2 linked regions of the Oryzias latipes genome follow. The protein of the gene in region 2 binds, or shares a complex with, the protein of the main gene of each other region. Links are inferred from orthologs where the notes say so. Each region holds a gene or a part of one and is shown on either strand. Other genes may lie near its edges.

What was found.
Region 1: the proteins of ubl4a (region 2) and bag6 are in contact, whole or in part, in a crystal structure (PDB 4X86), measured with the Homo sapiens proteins. The link is inferred for Oryzias latipes from reciprocal best matches to the Homo sapiens genes UBL4A and BAG6. Residues at the interface, in NP_055050.1 of Homo sapiens: Val95, Leu98, Ile99, Val102, Leu103, Arg105, His106, Phe107, Ser108, Asp111, Arg114, Val115, Gln118, Leu119, Asp122, Tyr123, Glu124, Ser126, Leu127, Ser128, Leu130, Ile135, Leu138, Arg141, Phe142; in NP_001092004.1 of Homo sapiens: Gly1052, Pro1053, Leu1055, Leu1057, Ala1060, Val1061, Ala1064, Ala1065, Ala1067, Ala1068, Ala1070, Arg1071, Pro1072, Leu1073, Thr1074, Ser1078, Leu1079, Asp1082, Leu1083, Glu1087, Val1088, Ser1091, Tyr1092, Gln1095, Leu1096, Asp1099, Ile1100, Arg1103, Leu1104.

The regions. Positions count from the first base shown.
Region 1 is NC_019874.2:28,122,251-28,130,445, reverse strand, and holds part of bag6 (large proline-rich protein BAG6), read right to left. Parts: coding exon 8,144-8,195; intron 8,059-8,143; coding exon 7,941-8,058; intron 7,701-7,940; coding exon 7,486-7,700; intron 6,335-7,485; coding exon 6,263-6,334; intron 6,168-6,262; coding exon 6,045-6,167; intron 5,979-6,044; coding exon 5,788-5,978; intron 5,260-5,787; coding exon 5,127-5,259; intron 5,032-5,126; coding exon 4,831-5,031; intron 4,753-4,830; coding exon 4,524-4,752; intron 4,390-4,523; coding exon 4,339-4,389; intron 4,264-4,338; coding exon 3,911-4,263; intron 3,846-3,910; coding exon 3,773-3,845; intron 3,690-3,772; coding exon 3,397-3,689; intron 3,310-3,396; coding exon 3,060-3,309; intron 2,983-3,059; coding exon 2,813-2,982; intron 2,735-2,812; coding exon 2,681-2,734; intron 1,740-2,680; coding exon 1,631-1,739; intron 1,541-1,630; coding exon 1,416-1,540; intron 455-1,415; coding exon 320-454; intron 238-319; coding exon 190-237; intron 124-189; and 1 more. UniProt on the Homo sapiens protein: ATP-independent molecular chaperone preventing the aggregation of misfolded and hydrophobic patches-containing proteins.
Region 2 is NC_019867.2:16,992,451-17,001,230, reverse strand, and holds ubl4a (ubiquitin-like protein 4A), read right to left. Parts: upstream 4,804-8,780; 5' UTR 4,656-4,803; coding exon 4,608-4,655; intron 3,418-4,607; coding exon 3,312-3,417; intron 3,224-3,311; coding exon 3,018-3,223; intron 2,822-3,017; coding exon 2,714-2,821; 3' UTR 2,230-2,713; downstream 1-2,229. Other genes in the region: dynamin-1-like protein, read right to left, coding at 81-167, 258-329, 419-465, 658-696, 877-1,018, 1,232-1,333; cGMP-dependent protein kinase 1-like, read left to right, coding at 5,907-6,093, 6,166-6,283, 6,461-6,627, 7,026-7,139, 8,438-8,543, 8,751-8,780. UniProt on the Homo sapiens protein: As part of a cytosolic protein quality control complex, the BAG6/BAT3 complex, maintains misfolded and hydrophobic patches-containing proteins in a soluble state and participates in their proper delivery to the endoplasmic reticulum or alternatively can promote their sorting to the proteasome where they undergo degradation.

The sequences.
Region 1 (8,195 bases), on a different chromosome or scaffold from region 2:
AGCTCCGCCCAGCGTTCCCAGGTCTCCAGGCAACGGCCTCGTCTCCCGCGCTGCCATGTCGTGGGACCCGGACATGGCCTCCTCTGCTGTGGTGGCGGCGGCCGGTGAATGAGTGTCCCCGATCTGAGGAGGCAGAAAGGTAAGGGGGGGGGGTCCCGGTCCATCTGAACACACTGTGGCGAGACTCACCGCTGCTCCTTCAGGCTCCTGCGTGTCGCTCGCAGCCGACTGATCTCTCTGGGGAAGAAGAAATGCATTATTTACGCAGAAACACGACACCCGGCCGCCGTGAGAGTGGCGCCGTGGCGGTGGCAGCGACCTGCAGGGGGACGATGAAGCTCTGGATCTGCTCCTGTGAGATGGGGTTGTGCTCCAGAATGACCTGCAGCCTCATGGACATCATGCTGGTCATCCAGTTCACCAGGCTGGGACTGATGTCGGTGGACATGCGCCGCTGGAACAAAGCAGAAGAGCCGTCAGCAAACAGACGAGGTCACAGCAGGATCAGCTTAACGGGAATGAAACAGTTTTTAAAAAACACAAACTCAAAAGTGCACATTATAAACTTGAAAGAAATAAAAGACCATTTGGAATTAAAAAAATATATATATACTTTTTTTTTGAAGAAATGCTGAAAACTTGGATTGAAATAAACCAAAAATTTGTCTTATTTATTTGTAACAAATGTGTTTTTTTATTTTCAATTTTTGTTTTTTATCTCTTTTTCCACAAACATACAATATTTCTGTAAGGTTTACAGTATTTACTTTTAAGTTTCAAACTAGTTTTAATTTTTTTTTTCAATTAACATTCTAGTTTTTTATTCAATTTATATCTGAACCAGAGCTTTAAAGACCCACTCTAAAGAAAAGTGTTTCTAATCGTGTTTTTTTCCTGATGATGGATGAGGTACATTAAGAACAAAAAAGCTCCAAATTGCATTTCTGAGCATCTTTTTATATGATTCGCTGTGAATCAGGAGCAGACCAAAAAAAAAGCACTTTGAAGAAGAGCTCATTTGCTACATAGAAAATACTGAGGCTGGGCTAAAAGCTCTGACCAACAGTCCCCAAACTCAGAAGTCGTGCTGCTCTGCAGAAACTCAGCCTTTGAAGACAATGCTGTTTTTTGATTATGGCTAAAAACAGTGGCGTTTAACCTGATGATCACTGGGCTGGTGATATCTGTGTTGACACATATTTATTCATTTCCTAAACCTTAAACCATAAGGTTACACAGATGGTGACATCAGTGTAACAGAAATGCATCAGAAATGTGTCACATGATCCACTTGGACTGTGACAAAGTCCAATAATAAAAAATGGGTCGGCGTTCTTGCAGGTTAAACTACCTGATGCCACTTTAAAACATCAGACTTGTGCGTTGAACTCTCACACCAGCAGAAGGAAACTCACAATCCGGTGGTTGATGACGGCGGTCAGAGCCCTCTGGTCTCCTCTCAGGCAGTGCAGGTTCAGAGCGAGACACTCGAAGAGCGCGCGGTTGCACATCCTCAGCAGCGTGGGTCCAAAAGTCTCATCTAAAAACAGAGAGGTGGCATTAGATCCACCATCAGCCGTTTCCTCACATTCACGCCAACGTTTTGTTTCTAATCTGTGACGCTGCTCACCTGTGCAGTGAAGGATGTGTGTGGCGATGGTGGTCAGGTGATGTCTGAAGAAGGCCATGTTGGTCTGGGTGACGTCCACTTCGTCCAGCACAGCAACTGAAGACTCTCTCTGTTCAAAGAAAGCTGCTGTTCTGAACAACCAGGAAAACTGTTTGTTCACCTGAAGAAAAAGCTCCAGTTCTCACCGTGTTTTCAGTCAGTTTTAACCATTCTGGTACAAAAATGTTGAGCTCTTAAAAGTTCTAGCTTATATTTTGGCAAATTTGGATGTTTTCTTTAAACATATTCAATATTTCTGTTAGTTAAAATGAAAAGGCTACAAATCCTTCAGACATGGTGAAGGTTGGTTTGGGTCTAAAATCTGCCAAAAATTTTACTCTGTTCAAAATAATTACAGCAAATGTTCCATTATTTTTTAAAGATTTGTGTTTTTCTCTCTTTAGATTAAACGATTTATAAATAGTTACTGTAGAAAACTTCATGTTTTTTTATGTGCCAATTCTTTCCCTGGCAGGTAAAATCCAGTTTATGGGAGAAAAAAATCTTCCATCTTTAACTTGACCTGCCGAAATTTATTATTTTTAGCTTTAAATTGTTTTTCAGTAGTCAGAATTTTGACAAAAACATTTTTTAAGCTTTTATCTGAAATAGTTTAAAAAAAAATCCTCTCTGGCTCCTCCTGCTGTTAGAATGTCGCCCCCTTGTGTCACAGTCAGTGAATTTCAGGAACGACCTCCAAGTCAGGAGGATGACAAATATGATCAAATGTGTTTTTTGACTCTGGATTCTCGTCTCTATACGTTTGTAAATAGAATTATTTCATCTGAGGCTTTAGATATTTCAATAAGGTGGAGTTTGGCACTAATAATGGTTTATGGTGACAGTCAGGATTCATCAAAGGTGAATTTTTGTCGTATGTGGGTTTAAACAAAGTCGTAACCTGTAGATTCAGACGTTTGCCATGAACACAAATTTGCAGAAAAAGCTTAAAGTTCAGCCTCCAGAGTGTAAATGAGAAAGCTGCTTAGTGGATGTAAAGTGATGACTTACGAAGCTCTCAGTGATGTACTCCTCCAGTTCATTAACCAGACTGTCAGCAGCAGCCTGTGGGAAGGAAGCAGGAGAACCGATGAACAGAGGGTCCAGGTTAAAAATCTGCAGACATGAAGCAGGAGGACTGACAGCGATGTTCTGGTCGGTGGGCTCTCTGCCGCTGAGGTAGTTCTCGGTGAAGAACTGCGACAGCATGGGCTGGATGCGGCTCAGCGGCTGGTGCTGTCCGTGGAGCAGCATCACCAGGTCCGACATGGTGAAGAGCTGACACACCAGCATCAGCAGCTCCCCGAAGAAACCTGACATCCACAACAAAGAGGAGAGATGAGTCCTCCTGCGGGTGCAGAATGCGCTGAGGCTTGCCGACTAAACGCACCTGTGGGCTCTTCGGTGCTGATGAAGATGTTGGTGGCCTGGGACAGCCTCTGCATGAACTGAGCGATGCTCTCAGAGTCGTTCTGCGTTTGGCCCAGAGAGCCCATCAGCGTGCTCAGGACGCCACGGACGATGCCGGTGAACAGCTCCGGGTTGATGGACTCGGACGCGCCTGCAGCCGGGTTGGGAGCAGAGGTGGCCCCTGCAGCGGGGGCTGCGGGGGTTCCAGAGGGGGGCGTGGGGAAGATCGGCTGGAGGGCCACAGAAATACAGACGATCTCAGCCGGGAAGAATCACCTTCATCGTTTCTGTGCTGTTTTCACGCCGCAAACACCCACCTGCTGCATGAACTCACTCATGCCTTGGAGGAAGGCGGGGACTCCGGACGTGGTCACGGTTATGGAGGGGGCTCCGCCACTGGCACCGCCTAAGAGCGAGCTCATGAGCTGACTGATGTCGGGGGGGATTTCCTGCGGCTGGGGCTCGCTGCCGCCGGCCTCCCCTTGGTCCTGGGTGGGTGGGGCGTTTGCAGATGGAGGCATTGGACCCGAGGTGGAGAAGGAGAAGGAGGAGGAAGTCTGAGAGGAAGAGGAGGATGTGGACGCAGTGGAAGAGGTGACCGTTTGACCGGCTGGAAAAAGCAGAAGTTCCTCTTTAACCATTTAGAAAAGACAACGGTCTTTTAATTCTTCTGGTTACGAGTGAGGTCATTACCCATCTGCCCCGGCAGCAGCATCTGTCCCACCAGCCCGGTGATCATCTGGTTAAATGCCACCGGATTGAAAGCCTGCGAGGAAAAGGCCGTCAGTTTCCTGCATGAATCAGAAAGAGTCCAAACAGTCGGCGCCCCACCTGCCCCTGCTGCTGGCCCGGCATGGCCGCCCTCACGTTGATGGTGGTTCCACGGGTCCCGAAGGCCGGGGGGGCAATGTTGGTGGTGAAAGAAGGTCGGGTGAACACCACCCTGGCTTGAGGCTGCGGGCTGGCGTGGGACGGTGGAGGGGGAGCGGTTGGGGTGGTAGTGGGGGTGTTGGGACCCGTTGTAGCAGCTGAGGAGCTGGGAGTGGAGCTCTGACCAGGAGGGGTGGGCTGGGGGGCGGCCGGCTGTCCAGTAGCAGCAGCGGTGGCGGCGCTGGTGGCGACAGCCGCCGCGTACTGACTGATCTGCTGCATGAGGTTCCGCATGAAGTCCGGGGGCAGACCACCTGAACGGGGGCAGAGGGGACAAGGTCAGAAGAATATGATCCAGAGACGGAAACGAAGCCACAGCCGACCCTCACCTGGCTGTGCCGGGATCGGCTGTCCCCCCGCTGCAGGGCTGGGGCTGGGACCTGCGATCACAAACACAAACACGTCGGTCATTTCCGGAGCGTCATGGATGTTGCAGCCGAAGACTTCAGCGGCAGCTGCTGAAACCCAGAACTGCTGCGATGAAAACTCAATCAGCGCGTCTGGGACAACACACCGTCCGCGTTCATCTGCATCATGACCACCGGGACTGCCTGGTGGCTGATCCTGATGACCCGGGGGCCAGCCTGTCCCTGTCCCTGTCCCGGCGGCTGATTGGACGGGGAAGTCTGTGCGGGGGGGGTCTGTCCCTGACCTGCCTGCTCCGCTTGGCCGGACGGTTGTGTGGGCGGAGCCTGTCCCTCAGTGCTGTTGGCCGCAACAGTCACTGTGGCCCCCAGGTTCATCTGTGAGTGAAGCGCAGAGAGGTCAGTGGAAGTGTGCGAGCGGGGGCACCGACCTGAAAACTGACGACTGTGACGTACTTGTACTGGGACATGGTGATGCACGGCGCTGGGCAGAGTGACCGGGCTGGCGTAGTGGGAAAAGGGCCGCACCACATGCAAATGTCGGGGGATCGGGCTCAAGAGGTTCAGTCGAAGATCACTGAGGGCAACCAGGGCATTGCCAAGGAGCCGGAGACCTTCGCACATCTGGATGAGGGTCCTCTGGTCGTCCTCCCGCTCCTGCACGGAGAACAACATAAAAATGTAATATTTAGTCACGCCAACACAAACATTACAGCGACAGAGCGCCTCGTGATGCAGGGGTGCTGCATTACTGTGTCATTGTTGTACTCGGCCGCCGCCGCCGTCTCCAAGATGCCGTGCGCTCTCTGGATGAAAGGCTGCAGCCTCTCCTCGACTCTCCGCAGCTCTGACAACATCTCTGCCAGCTCAGCGGGGCTGGGGTGACTGCAGGGGTGGGGGGGCAACGACAGCAAACAAATAAAACAGATATAAAAATAATTTATCTACTGTAGACTAGATTAAAGCTGGGTTAGAAGTACATTTAGTTAGTTAAGTTAAGAAACTTTTAATATAAAAAAAACCCGGAGGATATGTCATAAGGTTGGATTTTTATTTTAATAATTATATTTTTTAATTATAAAAATGTATCATTTATTAAGGAAAGAATCTCCTTTGTTTAGTTGATATCTGTCATGTAACAAATGTTTTCATAACTACACAAAAAACGACTTTAAATGAAATTTGAAAAATAGATTGATATTTGACCAAATAGAAACATAAATTTGAATTATTTCAATATTTTGGTGGAACCTCTAATGTTTAGTCTAGAGGTGTGGGGATAAGAAAACTTATCAGCTTCTCAAATCAATAAATCGTTGGTTTTATGAGCTGATCACTTGTTTAAACAGACGGCCTTCAAATATCATCAAACTAAATAAAATTCTCGTGAATCTTTTGAATTCAATCTCTCACTTGGGTCCTGGCTGTGGAGTGGGTCCCTCAGACTGAGCAGAGAAGGTGGGTGGAGTTGTTGGAGGAGGTGAGGTGTCCATGGGCTGAGTGGAGGGAGAAGGGGTGGAGCTTGTGGAGGAAGAAGAGGGAGGAGGCGGAGCAGCAGCAGAGGCCGTCTCTGATTGGGAGGTTTGGGAATCGCTCTGTCGACCCTAAAAACGACAAATGTCAGTGAATGGCGGTTGGGAGATAAAGACTCCTGTGGCGCAGTGGCTCGCCTCCATCCTGCTGATGACATCGTTGAGGTCTCGCAGCAGATTCTCGGCCAGAACCAGCCTCAGCCTGGGTTCGCTCTGCACCGGCTGGTCCATGTCGATGTGAACGTTTACAGACCCGTTGCTCTGAGAGCAGTCACAACAGGAAAGAAAAGGTTTTTGTTTCAAATCCTGTTTTTTGACGAGCTTTTAAAGAATAGAAGGGAGCTTCTATTACTTACTCCAGTACTGGCTGTGACTCGAGCATTTCTTGCATTATCTCCCATTCCAGAGACCATCTGCTGAACAGACATCTAGGAGACACAAGAATCACACAGCTTTAATGTACAGTTAGTGTCTTTATTATATAAGTATTATATACTTTATCATATCATTGAGTAATTTTCGGCTTAAACCACAGTCTTCAAGCAATCACAAAGTGGACTAAGAGTCATAATTGCAATTGTTATTATTTATTATTTTACTTTCTCCCTCTTTGAGACCTAATTAGACCCCTAATATGCATGAAAATCCGCAAAACTGATTCAAAAATTTGTCATAAAAAGTAAACGATTTGTTCTCTTCCAACAAAAAAAACTAAGTAAAATTGGGCCAGTAAAACCTTTTTTTTATATATATATATCCCCTAAGAAAGAGCCATCCAGTAAAAATCATTAAATTTCTTTATGCTCCATCTTCACTGATGTCATGGACCATGGAATGTAGAGGAGCGGGTGGGGTTTTACTGTGGCACCATTTTCAGATGGGGCTGCAGAGTTAGAGGATGAGCATCACGCCTTAATCCTGTTCTGTTGCAGCACAGGCCGAGGAGAAGCTGCTGGGGGCAGCAGACAGACCTGGGGGGCTGTTGATGGGCCCATGGTGCAGGGTGGCAATGGTCATTCAACAGTCGTTGCAGCTTTAAATGTATTTGTTTTTAGGATAATTTAGCAAACCCATCAAGATGACATGAACAGAGTTCATATGCCGGAGTCTCTAAAGTCCATCTTTGTCCATTTTCCCTTTAACATCTCCACACAATATGATCGGACATAGTGGAAAATGCTGAGATGAAAACAATGCAGAGATCACACAGAACAATTCACTTGTGCTCTGCGTGATAAACCGACTACATCTAGATGGTTTTAAAATCTGAAATCAATCCCTGTGGTTTTATTTTCACTTTGAACGAACCCATCTGACTTTCATGTCATTTTGATCCAGAAGACTTGGTCCTTTTAAGAAAAATTTCCTGCAGGTTTGTGATCAAAGGTTGTTAACAAAAGCAGACAGCCTCATGGCAGATTGAAGGCAGCCGTTTAGAAAAGTAATGTTTCAACTTGACTGAACTCAGATCTTCATGCCGAAACACAGAGTTTAGTTGCCCTGAGCAACTGGAATCTCGTCATCTGTTGAGCAGTGCTGCCTTCATCCCTGACAACGCACACCAACAATGCAGACCTACCTGTATCTGCTGGGGGTCCATGATATTGACGGGGAGGTTGAAGGTTCCAAGCATGACATAGCTGTTGGCATTGCGATCGTGTGGAGGCACCTGCGATGCTCCCTGGGAGGATGAAGACTGCCCGCTGTCGGCTGCGGTGGCCCCTGACCCCGAGCCAGGCTGGGAGGGTGGAGGGGGGGCCCGCTCCACAAGGTGAATCACCTTTCCAGCCACATCTACAAGAGTAGCGGAGAATATGGTCAGCTAAAACAGAAGCAGTGGCAAATCAGCAGAAAGAGCAGATGGAACCAAAAACTAATTCAATGACAGAATTTTTACTTAAAAGAAATAGTTTTGAAATGCTCCTTGGTGGTGTGATTGAAAGGAGGCAGAAGGGATGTTCAGATGGAGAGACTCCCTGAAGCAACAAGCTGAAAGGTTAAGAGGAGGAAGATTTAATATATCCTTTGACTAACTGTAGTCTGCCAGCGTCCTTTCATCCTGCAGTACTCTGCCCTGGTAGATGAGCCTCTGTTTGTCCACAGGGATGCCCACTGAAGGAGAAATGTGCTCTTTGAACTCTTTAACTGTCAGCTGCAAAACAATGGATCATTTCAGTCAGATCATAAAAGACAAAAGGAAACTACCCAAATATTTACAGCAGGAACTTTCCATTTACCTGAGCACCGACTGAGTAGGTTCTGCTCTGAGAGTCCAGAGTTTTGACCGTC
Region 2 (8,780 bases):
TTGCAGATACAGATGTTTGCACAAATCAAAAAGTAAAGATAAAAAAAAAAATTGCATTTTTGTCAGATTACTGAGTTCACCTTGATAATTCCAGGTAAATCAACCAGAGTGAGATTCAGAACTTTGGGGGAGAATATCTTCAAATATATGGGCTCACAAGTGATTCCCTGGAAAACAAGAAAGAAAAGAAAACATGATTATTATGTAAAACCAAAATATTGCAGGTCAGTAAGGTTATACAAAAGCCTTTTTCTCACTTTGTTGTCCCCCGAAGTGCGCTCTGTCTCTGCTTCGATTTCTTTACGAATTTCCAGAAAATCTGTGAAGATCTGTTAAGAAAGGCACACCCATCAAACATCAGAAAGCTTGCAAAACAAAGGAAGCAGAAGCATAACAAGAATAAAAATGATGAACATACCTGGTTCTTACAATGCAGAAATGTGCCCCATTCTTCAGCTTTGACACCTGAATAGAAAATAAGAGCATAAAAGTGTCAGGGATGAAGAATTAAAGTATAAAAGAATGGAATATGAATTTAAAAAAAAGGATTTGGCAAAAACATAATGAAAATAAACTGAATTAACTAAATGAGTGAGACGGTTAATGGTAAACATGAAGAAGTAGAAACTTTTTCTCATGCAGATCAAATATAGTGACCTGTGTAGCTGTTTTGAATATTTTGTTTAAGCCCATTTCCTAAAAAGTAGTAAAGAAAAAGAGGAAGAAAATGTGTTAGTTCAGAAAAACCCTGTATCAAAACCAAGTGACAGAGAGAAGTGCATAGAAAGATTTCAACATAACTCAATGCTGTGAGAGAATTATAAGCCTAAGTGTTTTACATCGAATTGAGTTATCATTGAGTCATAATCTGTTTACCATGCTCATTCTTCAGCCTTTCCTGTTGTGGAGCAACATTGACGAGCTGCAACACAAGGGGTCGTCTTGTGACTATTCCAGATCCCCGAGGCAAAAAATCCCTTCCGACCAGGCTCTCTAGCACTGAGCTTTTTCCACTGCTCTGTTATAAAAACAACGACAGCACATGAGTAATAACAGGACATCATCTATTTTTAATTTAAAAAGAACTTTTTAACTAGAACCCTGAACTGGGTGAAACCATACTTTAGTATACATCTACTCTGGATGATTATCCAATAATCAAGACAAGATAAGTGTACAAACACAACATTGTTTTCACTCAGTTTTCCAATTCTGGTTTCCATCCACTGACCTGAGTCCCAACCACGACTATCTGAGGCAGCTGTATGATCTCTGTCCCGACCGTCTGAAAGACCTCTTGCAGCCGGTTGATGGTGGGAATCAAAGTTTCCATCTTTCCAGTCGTCTCTCCTACTGTTGGTGAACACATGAGGGATGTGAACAGAAACATCAAGACACTCAACAACGAGAAACAAGGCTGTTTGCTTCATGGATGCAACCATCTCTAACATGTTTAATTGATAACCTTAGGCTTAGCTCTAAGGAACAGGATCTTCAGTTTTCCTCCTCTGTGGCGCGTTGCTATCCTACTAAGGCTTTTCTCCAGGGAGAAGTGGTCCTGATGATCATGATGAGAGGACTCAACGCCTCAACTCGACCAACATCGGATACAATGTACTACTTACTAGCTTGAAGGGATTTGAAATTTAAAATTAACTATTGATTGCCGGTAGCAAAGGTGACAGCACGTACATTTTAGACATTTGTTATCGACAAAGTCCGAGGTAATAAATGTTATCTGCTAACGCTCGCTGGATGAATGCAGGAAGTACAGTATGTGCTGCTAGCTTCATGCTAACATTAGCTTACTGGCCATAAATAAATAAATAAACCCGATATTACATTCTTACCTTTTCAGTGTTTACGAATATATCCACCCCTATCCGACTATTCTATGTTTCATACTTTAAATTATGCTAAATATGTTTAAAATACACCATTTTATAGGAGCTGGTTTACAAGTAACCAGAACATAAAGCACAGACCAAATGCTTGGAAAGAGGGGCGGAGCGTTGGTGGCAACCCACCTGATTGGTCAAAAAACATAGATCACGTGTCTTGCTATTGCTTCATTGGCTCCCTTAATTGTTCTCGCCCAGCGGTAAAATAAAATGTCCCGCCTTGCGACATTCTCTTCAGTCTTCCTTCTCCTTGTTTCCAAACCGGCAATATTTACACAAAACACAACTATTTCTCACAATACAACGTAAAAAAAACAAAAAAACGTAGTAATTTCTTGATCTTTTATTGTCGTCATATATAAACAATATTTACAAATCGCACAATGGCCATCTGAACAATAAAAGATGTGTGTATTCTTTTATCCCACGTTTAAATGAAAAAAATAAAATAAAAACAGGCATCATTCAACGCTGACATGAATAATAAATAGTCTCAAGTGGAAGTTAGTGTTGCCTGGAATTGCAGCAGCCAGAAATCAAGCAACATTAGCACGAAACAATGTTTTTGTGTTTTGATTTTACACAAAAAAAACTAGTCTTTCAACAAATGGTGTCAATATTAAAAATAGAAGAGAAAACACACATGAGAAAGCCCTATTGCTGAGATAAACATTAGTCACTGACACAAGTCAGCAATATCAATAATCACTGATTAGGCACACATTGTATTCTCAATGGCCTCACATTTATTTTCCCAAACATGTAGTTTCTCCTAAATCTATTCATACAAAGTAGATTTAGGTTTTCCAATGCTAGTCCATGTAGGAGGTGTCCATGCTCTCGCTGTCAGGGTGAAGCAATCGCACTGCTAGTCGTTCAATGTCATCCAGGCTGAGCTGTCGAAGTGAACGTTCATAGTCCTAAAAACAAACAAAAACAAAGTTTAGTAATAACAAAGAGGAGCTTAACTGTCAAGCTCACAACATGACAAATTATTTTAAATAGTTAAAATAGACATTCGTTTTGTAATATAATTTATATAGTGGGTTTGAAAGGCAGTAACAGAACTTTAACCATTACAACTTTTGGGAAACCATGAATAAAAACTTATCTTACCTTTATAAGCTGTTCATGAACTTTTGCTGCATCTGCTGGACTGAAGTGTCTAGCAAGTATAGTGGACACAGTCTGCCACAGTCCTCCCATGTTCCTGCTGCTGCAGCCAGTCACTGCTGAGGCTGCAGATCTTTCTCCTGCAGGACGGATTACTAGGTTCAATTTAGCCTCTGGTCCAATGGAATAATCACTAAGTCTGTGTTCATCTGAAAGAAAAAAGGGCATACAGAAAGATAAATTATGAACCTGACAAAAGTATAAAGGAAAGAAAAAAAAGTAGTAGGCAAATTTTACCTGCCAGTGCCTTTCCTTTGTAAAGCAGCCGCTGCTGGTTTGCTGGTATGTTGAGTTGCTCAGAAACAAGTTCCTTCACTGTGGAAACCTTTTCATCTTCTGTCACCTGTGGGATAAAAACAAATTCTTAAACTGTAATTTAAACAAGAACAATAGAGTCAACTGGTATAGAAAGACTGCGGGGAAAACAAGTTCTAAGGATGCAATAATAAAAAAAATGAATACATAAAAACAGTATTAAACGGGCAAAATAAATAATTCATTTTATGTAATAAAGTAACAAAGTACCTATTGTGAAAACGTTTTATCAGCTCAAGACAAAAACATTTGTTACAATAATTCAAAACAATTACAAATATATTGTTTATTCAAAGCCTTCGTATTTTTTTCGAAATGTGCCGAAAACTCACTGTCTTGTCTGGGATAAAATTCTCGGCTTAAAATCTAATTCAATAGATGTCTTAAATGGCTTTGTATGACCAATTTTAAGTGCACATGTTTGACTTAATCTGAAGAACAGCCATATATAATGTATAATGTGTAATTACCGCTACACTTTAAAGTTGGCATTAAAGAAAAAAAACATGATCATAAGTACTACGGTACTCAAAATAAGAACAACACAAAACCAAAAAAATGTTTTGGTTAAAAAAAATTATAAATAGAATATATAACTACATAATTAAAAAAGTTAATGAAGTGCTGTGGAGTTTTAAAATGATTACTTTATGTAAATGAAAAATATATACAATTCTAAATTTGTGATAAGAGAAGCAGGTTCATAATGCTGCTTTCATGCAACTGTATGTCTTAACTGATTTGACACAAAGGCACATCCAGGAGCAGCAAATATAACTGCTGAACTGTAAAATAATACCAACACCGTTTTTTGTTTCAACGCGCTGACCAAACAAAGTCCTCTAATACACCGCGGTTCCTTACTCACTTCTCTTTACTGCATTAGCACCAAGTAAGGAGTAACAACAACTTCCACTCAGCTGCTGGGCGTGACCTCAGCGAGAATGATTCAGACAGAAAGAGTTCTTCGTCTTGCATTTCTAAATTAGCTAACATGCTAGCTGCGGTAAAGCTGCTTTAGAACTATAAACGGGTGTGTATATGTACAACCGCATCTTTAGTACTGGTTAGTGTTAGAGTTACAGTCACTAATAAATTAAATTTATGTTCACTTTATTCAAAGCACTTTAAAAAACTTATGATGCTGAGCGGCTAACAGATATACCCGGCTAGCTGATTGTGCAAATTAGCATTATGGAGTTCGATTTTTTAACTAACCTGAACACTGCACTCCTTCCCTTGAAGTGGCTTTACTGTAAGAATCATTTTTCAACACTCTCACTAAAAACAAAAACACACAATAATGTGATTAAAGTCCAGCCAAAAGGGTTACTAAGTTTGCTCGTTATAGCCACACTGGCTGTGGTCCCGTCAGCGTCCCATCTTCTTCTCCTGTTTCCTCTCAACGATGCCACTGCCTCTGTTGCTGACATCAAGTAATGCTGCTGCCGCCTACTGGCATGAAGGATGTACCGCAGCTAAGAAGAAATGACACCACGATTAAAGTTCAATTAAAAGTTTATCGGAACTAAAGTGGTTAGGCGATGATATCCAAATTGATCTCCTAAGCAGGATACTGTGCCAATACACCTGTACACACATGGGTGTTTTTTTTCCTTTGACAGACAAAAAACATGGTGATAAACTTTTGTCATTACATTACATTTGAATAGTAACGTGTTTGTCAATTTGAAAAGAAAATTGGATCCGACTCACCTGTAGATTACTGTTACAATTTACCCATAATTACCTGACCACCTTCTATTGCTTATGTTCAATACACAAAAAGATTTTCACAAAAAATGCGTTTACAGCATTGACATTTTTTTAATGTCCAAAGTCGGGCAGATGCTCGTTCTTTTTTCTTTCCGAAAGCAAAATTTAGTGTCAAATTTTCCCATTAGAACTACTTTCCTCTGACCCAGTTCGGATCCAGCCTGTGCATGTGTCATTCTGTTCCCCCTCCTCGTGGTTGGAGGGAGCCCGCGTCACGTGACCGCCTGTCTGCGCTGTGGGCATTCCTCCTGACCAGCATCCTTCACTTGAGGACGCCAGGCGGACTGCTCACCTACACCGGTGAGTAGCATTTGTGTACCATCCATCAATTAGGTGTTGAAAAAACAATGGATCTGTGGCTGAGTGTAATTAAATTTAAGATGATAAAGACAATTTATCTTTGTTATTGTTTTTTTCTCTTTTGACAATTTTTATATAGCCTACATAAAACCTTGCAGCTTCACATAAAACGTACATAATAAAAAAAAGTATAATTTGTTTACTCTGAAAATGTATTCTTTTTAGTGGGATAAACTTATGATGCACTTGACAATGAATTGTTTTTGCCTTTAACCTGGATGGAAATGTGTGCTACAATTGCAAGGCAGCATTTTGACATAGATAGATATGCATAATATTTTTCATATTTAAGTTTGTGAAATAAAAAATTACAATTTCTTTTTTATTCTCATAGCAACGAGCTGTTTATCTTTGTGCTTTCCTGGCTGATGCCTGCAGATCATGGGTACACTGAGGGACCTCCAGTTTGCTCTGCAACTAAAAATCGAGGAGCTCCGCCAGAGAGACACACTCATAGATGAGTTGGAGCTTGAACTGGATACAAAGGATGAACTCATTCGAAGGCTACAGGAAGAACTGGACCGTTACAGGACCACTGTTTGCCTCTCAGGACCCTCACCCAGTGCAGGTAAAGAGTAGGTCAATCATTTAAAAGTACAGGTTGTAGACGTGACCTAAAAATCTCAATTATTTTTTATAGCTCCTCAAATTGAGGGCATGGAGCGAGCTAAAAAGCACACAGTCATTTCAGAACCCTTCAGCCCGGACCCCGTGACTCTCGCCAGGATTTCACACAAAAGCTGTGACAAAAGTCAACAGTAAGAGCACACTGTGTTCCTCCAACTTCAGCTAAGAAGGCCAACTTTTCAAATTTTTTAGCATCACTCAATGGTCAAGCATTTTGAGTCAGCATTTGTGGCTTGTGGCGCGGCATTTAAGGTGATTGACAGCTACACTCGGAGTGTTGCATCTTTATCATCCCTGTGTGTCATCAGATCTCAAAGCCTGATCCAGGCAGGGCTTTTGAAAAACGACCTGTTGAAGAACTTAGACGAAGGAGAAATGAGAGCTGTCACATCCTGCACATATCGCTGCTCCATCAATCAAAACTGCACTCTCATACAGGAGGGGAGCGCTGGGGAGCAGGCTTTTATTTTAGAAGGTAAATTGCTGCCATCTGTCATCCTTAAGATTATTTATTAGAGGTTTCTTGTGAGGAAAGTGGCTAAAATAATTTGTTTTCACCAACAACTGCTTTTTAAAACTCATTTTGCAGCTTGTTTTTTTTTTTTTTTGCATTTGATGACAGCTTTATGGTTTAAAGCACACAAATAGCTCCCGCTTAAAGACGGGGAACATGAACAAGAATACCAGGAGAAAAGAGGTCATGAACTGAACGTAGATTTCATCAGAGAGGAAGCTGCCTCCTGCTTTCAGTCTTGTCACTTGAACCATCTTTTGTGCATGAAGTGCGCATCAAGCTGACAGTTACTTTTATCCGACATGGATTCTATACTATCAATGTGCTCCTTTTTCCTACTAAGTGTGTGATGTTGACAGAAGGAAGATTGAGCGTGACTCAAGACGGGTGCAAGCTGCTGACAATTGAACCAGGGGATACGATTGGCGAGCTGGCACTCCTCTACAACTGCACTTTCCCCTTTTCTGTCTCTGGTAAGTTGTGGGATGATAGGATAAGATGCCTCAAAGTGGAAGCATGCTCTTTGAATAATTCTTCAATCTAAAATCAACAAGGACAGCTTTTGGCTTAAGTCATTTTGACCGTAAAACATATTTTGATTTGAATAACCCAGCACTTCTCTTCCCTGCAGTTCTGGATTTAGCGACACATTTCAACCCATTTTGTCGACCTTTTTAAAGATTTGTGATATTTTCATGACATAGTAAGTGTCACATCCTTTCTTCATATCTAATCTTGAAGCTCTATGGGGGAAACTCTGTCGTTACCCCAAGCCTCTGACCTGGTTTCACAAATAAATGCAGAATCTCATCCCATCAACCCATTTTCTGATCTATTTTGGCGTCACAGGGCTGCCGGAGCCCATCCCAGTCACTGTTGGGCAAAGGTTGGATATACCTTGATGGTTTTTGCGGTCCATTGCAGTGACACACACATATTCACACCTTGGGACAATTTAGAGTCATCAATTGACTTAAGATGCATATTTGTGGACACTGGGAGGAAGCCAGAGTGTCTGGAAAAACCCACACATGCACTGGGAGAACAGGCAAACTCCACACGGAAAAGATCCTGCTGGGATTTGAAGCAGGACCTTCTCACTCACTATGAGGTGATAAGATCAATTTGTGGGAAAAAAGAATTTCAATCACTATCTATGAGTTCAATTATCTTAATTGACTTTATGAACCAGATTCCTGCTTCTGTGAATATCCAGGCTGCCGAGTGTCTGCTTTCAGTCTGCTCTTCATCTCATGTAATTCTTTTGTTCGTCTGAATGATGATACTGTGCAGATGGCAGCATGTAATCAGGAAGAAAAATGATGAGAATAGGGAGAAAAATTGTGCTTCAAGACAAACAATTTGGTGAAGCTGTAAAGTGGAAGCTCACGGTTAATATCGGAACATTAAAATTGAAACGTTTTGAGTCGCACCGTTTATTAGCTGCTGGATCCACTCTGACTGTCTCGACGATAACATCTTTTATTTGCAGGAAGCTTTTGTGAAGCAATCAATATCAGCACTTACTCTTTTACACCATCGTCAAACGCTGAATATAGAGTATTTATTGCTAAAGGATTCGATTTATGTCTTGTGAAACGACAGCTATTAACTCTGATTTACCCGCTTGCTTTTTAGGTCTCAGCTGATATTTAATTGTGAATCTCAAACCACTGCAGGCGGCATGTACTGTCTCTCCTCAGCAGCTTCTCCACTTTACTTCAGGTGTCGCTGACAACAACCTTCACATTTTTCTCTGCTTTTGTCTCAGCACAATCGGACTGTAAGCTGTGGACTATTGACCGCAAGAGCTTTCAGACTGTGCTGATGCACTGCAGTCTCAGCCGCCTTTCTCATTCAGTGGAGCTGCTCAGAAGGTGAGTGTCAACCAGAGAAATCGAACAAAGCAGCCTCAGACGATGAGTTTTAATTCACGGAACACCTCAAGGGTTTTATTTTTTTGTCGAACATCTATATTAAATGAAAACGATTTTGTTCCCAATAACTGTGAAAGGAATAACATGTCCACAATGTCAAGTTTGACTTTTTTGAACATTTTCTATTTCTTCTTTGTGCGTTTGCAGCCTTCCCCTCCTGCAGTCATTGCCAGAGGA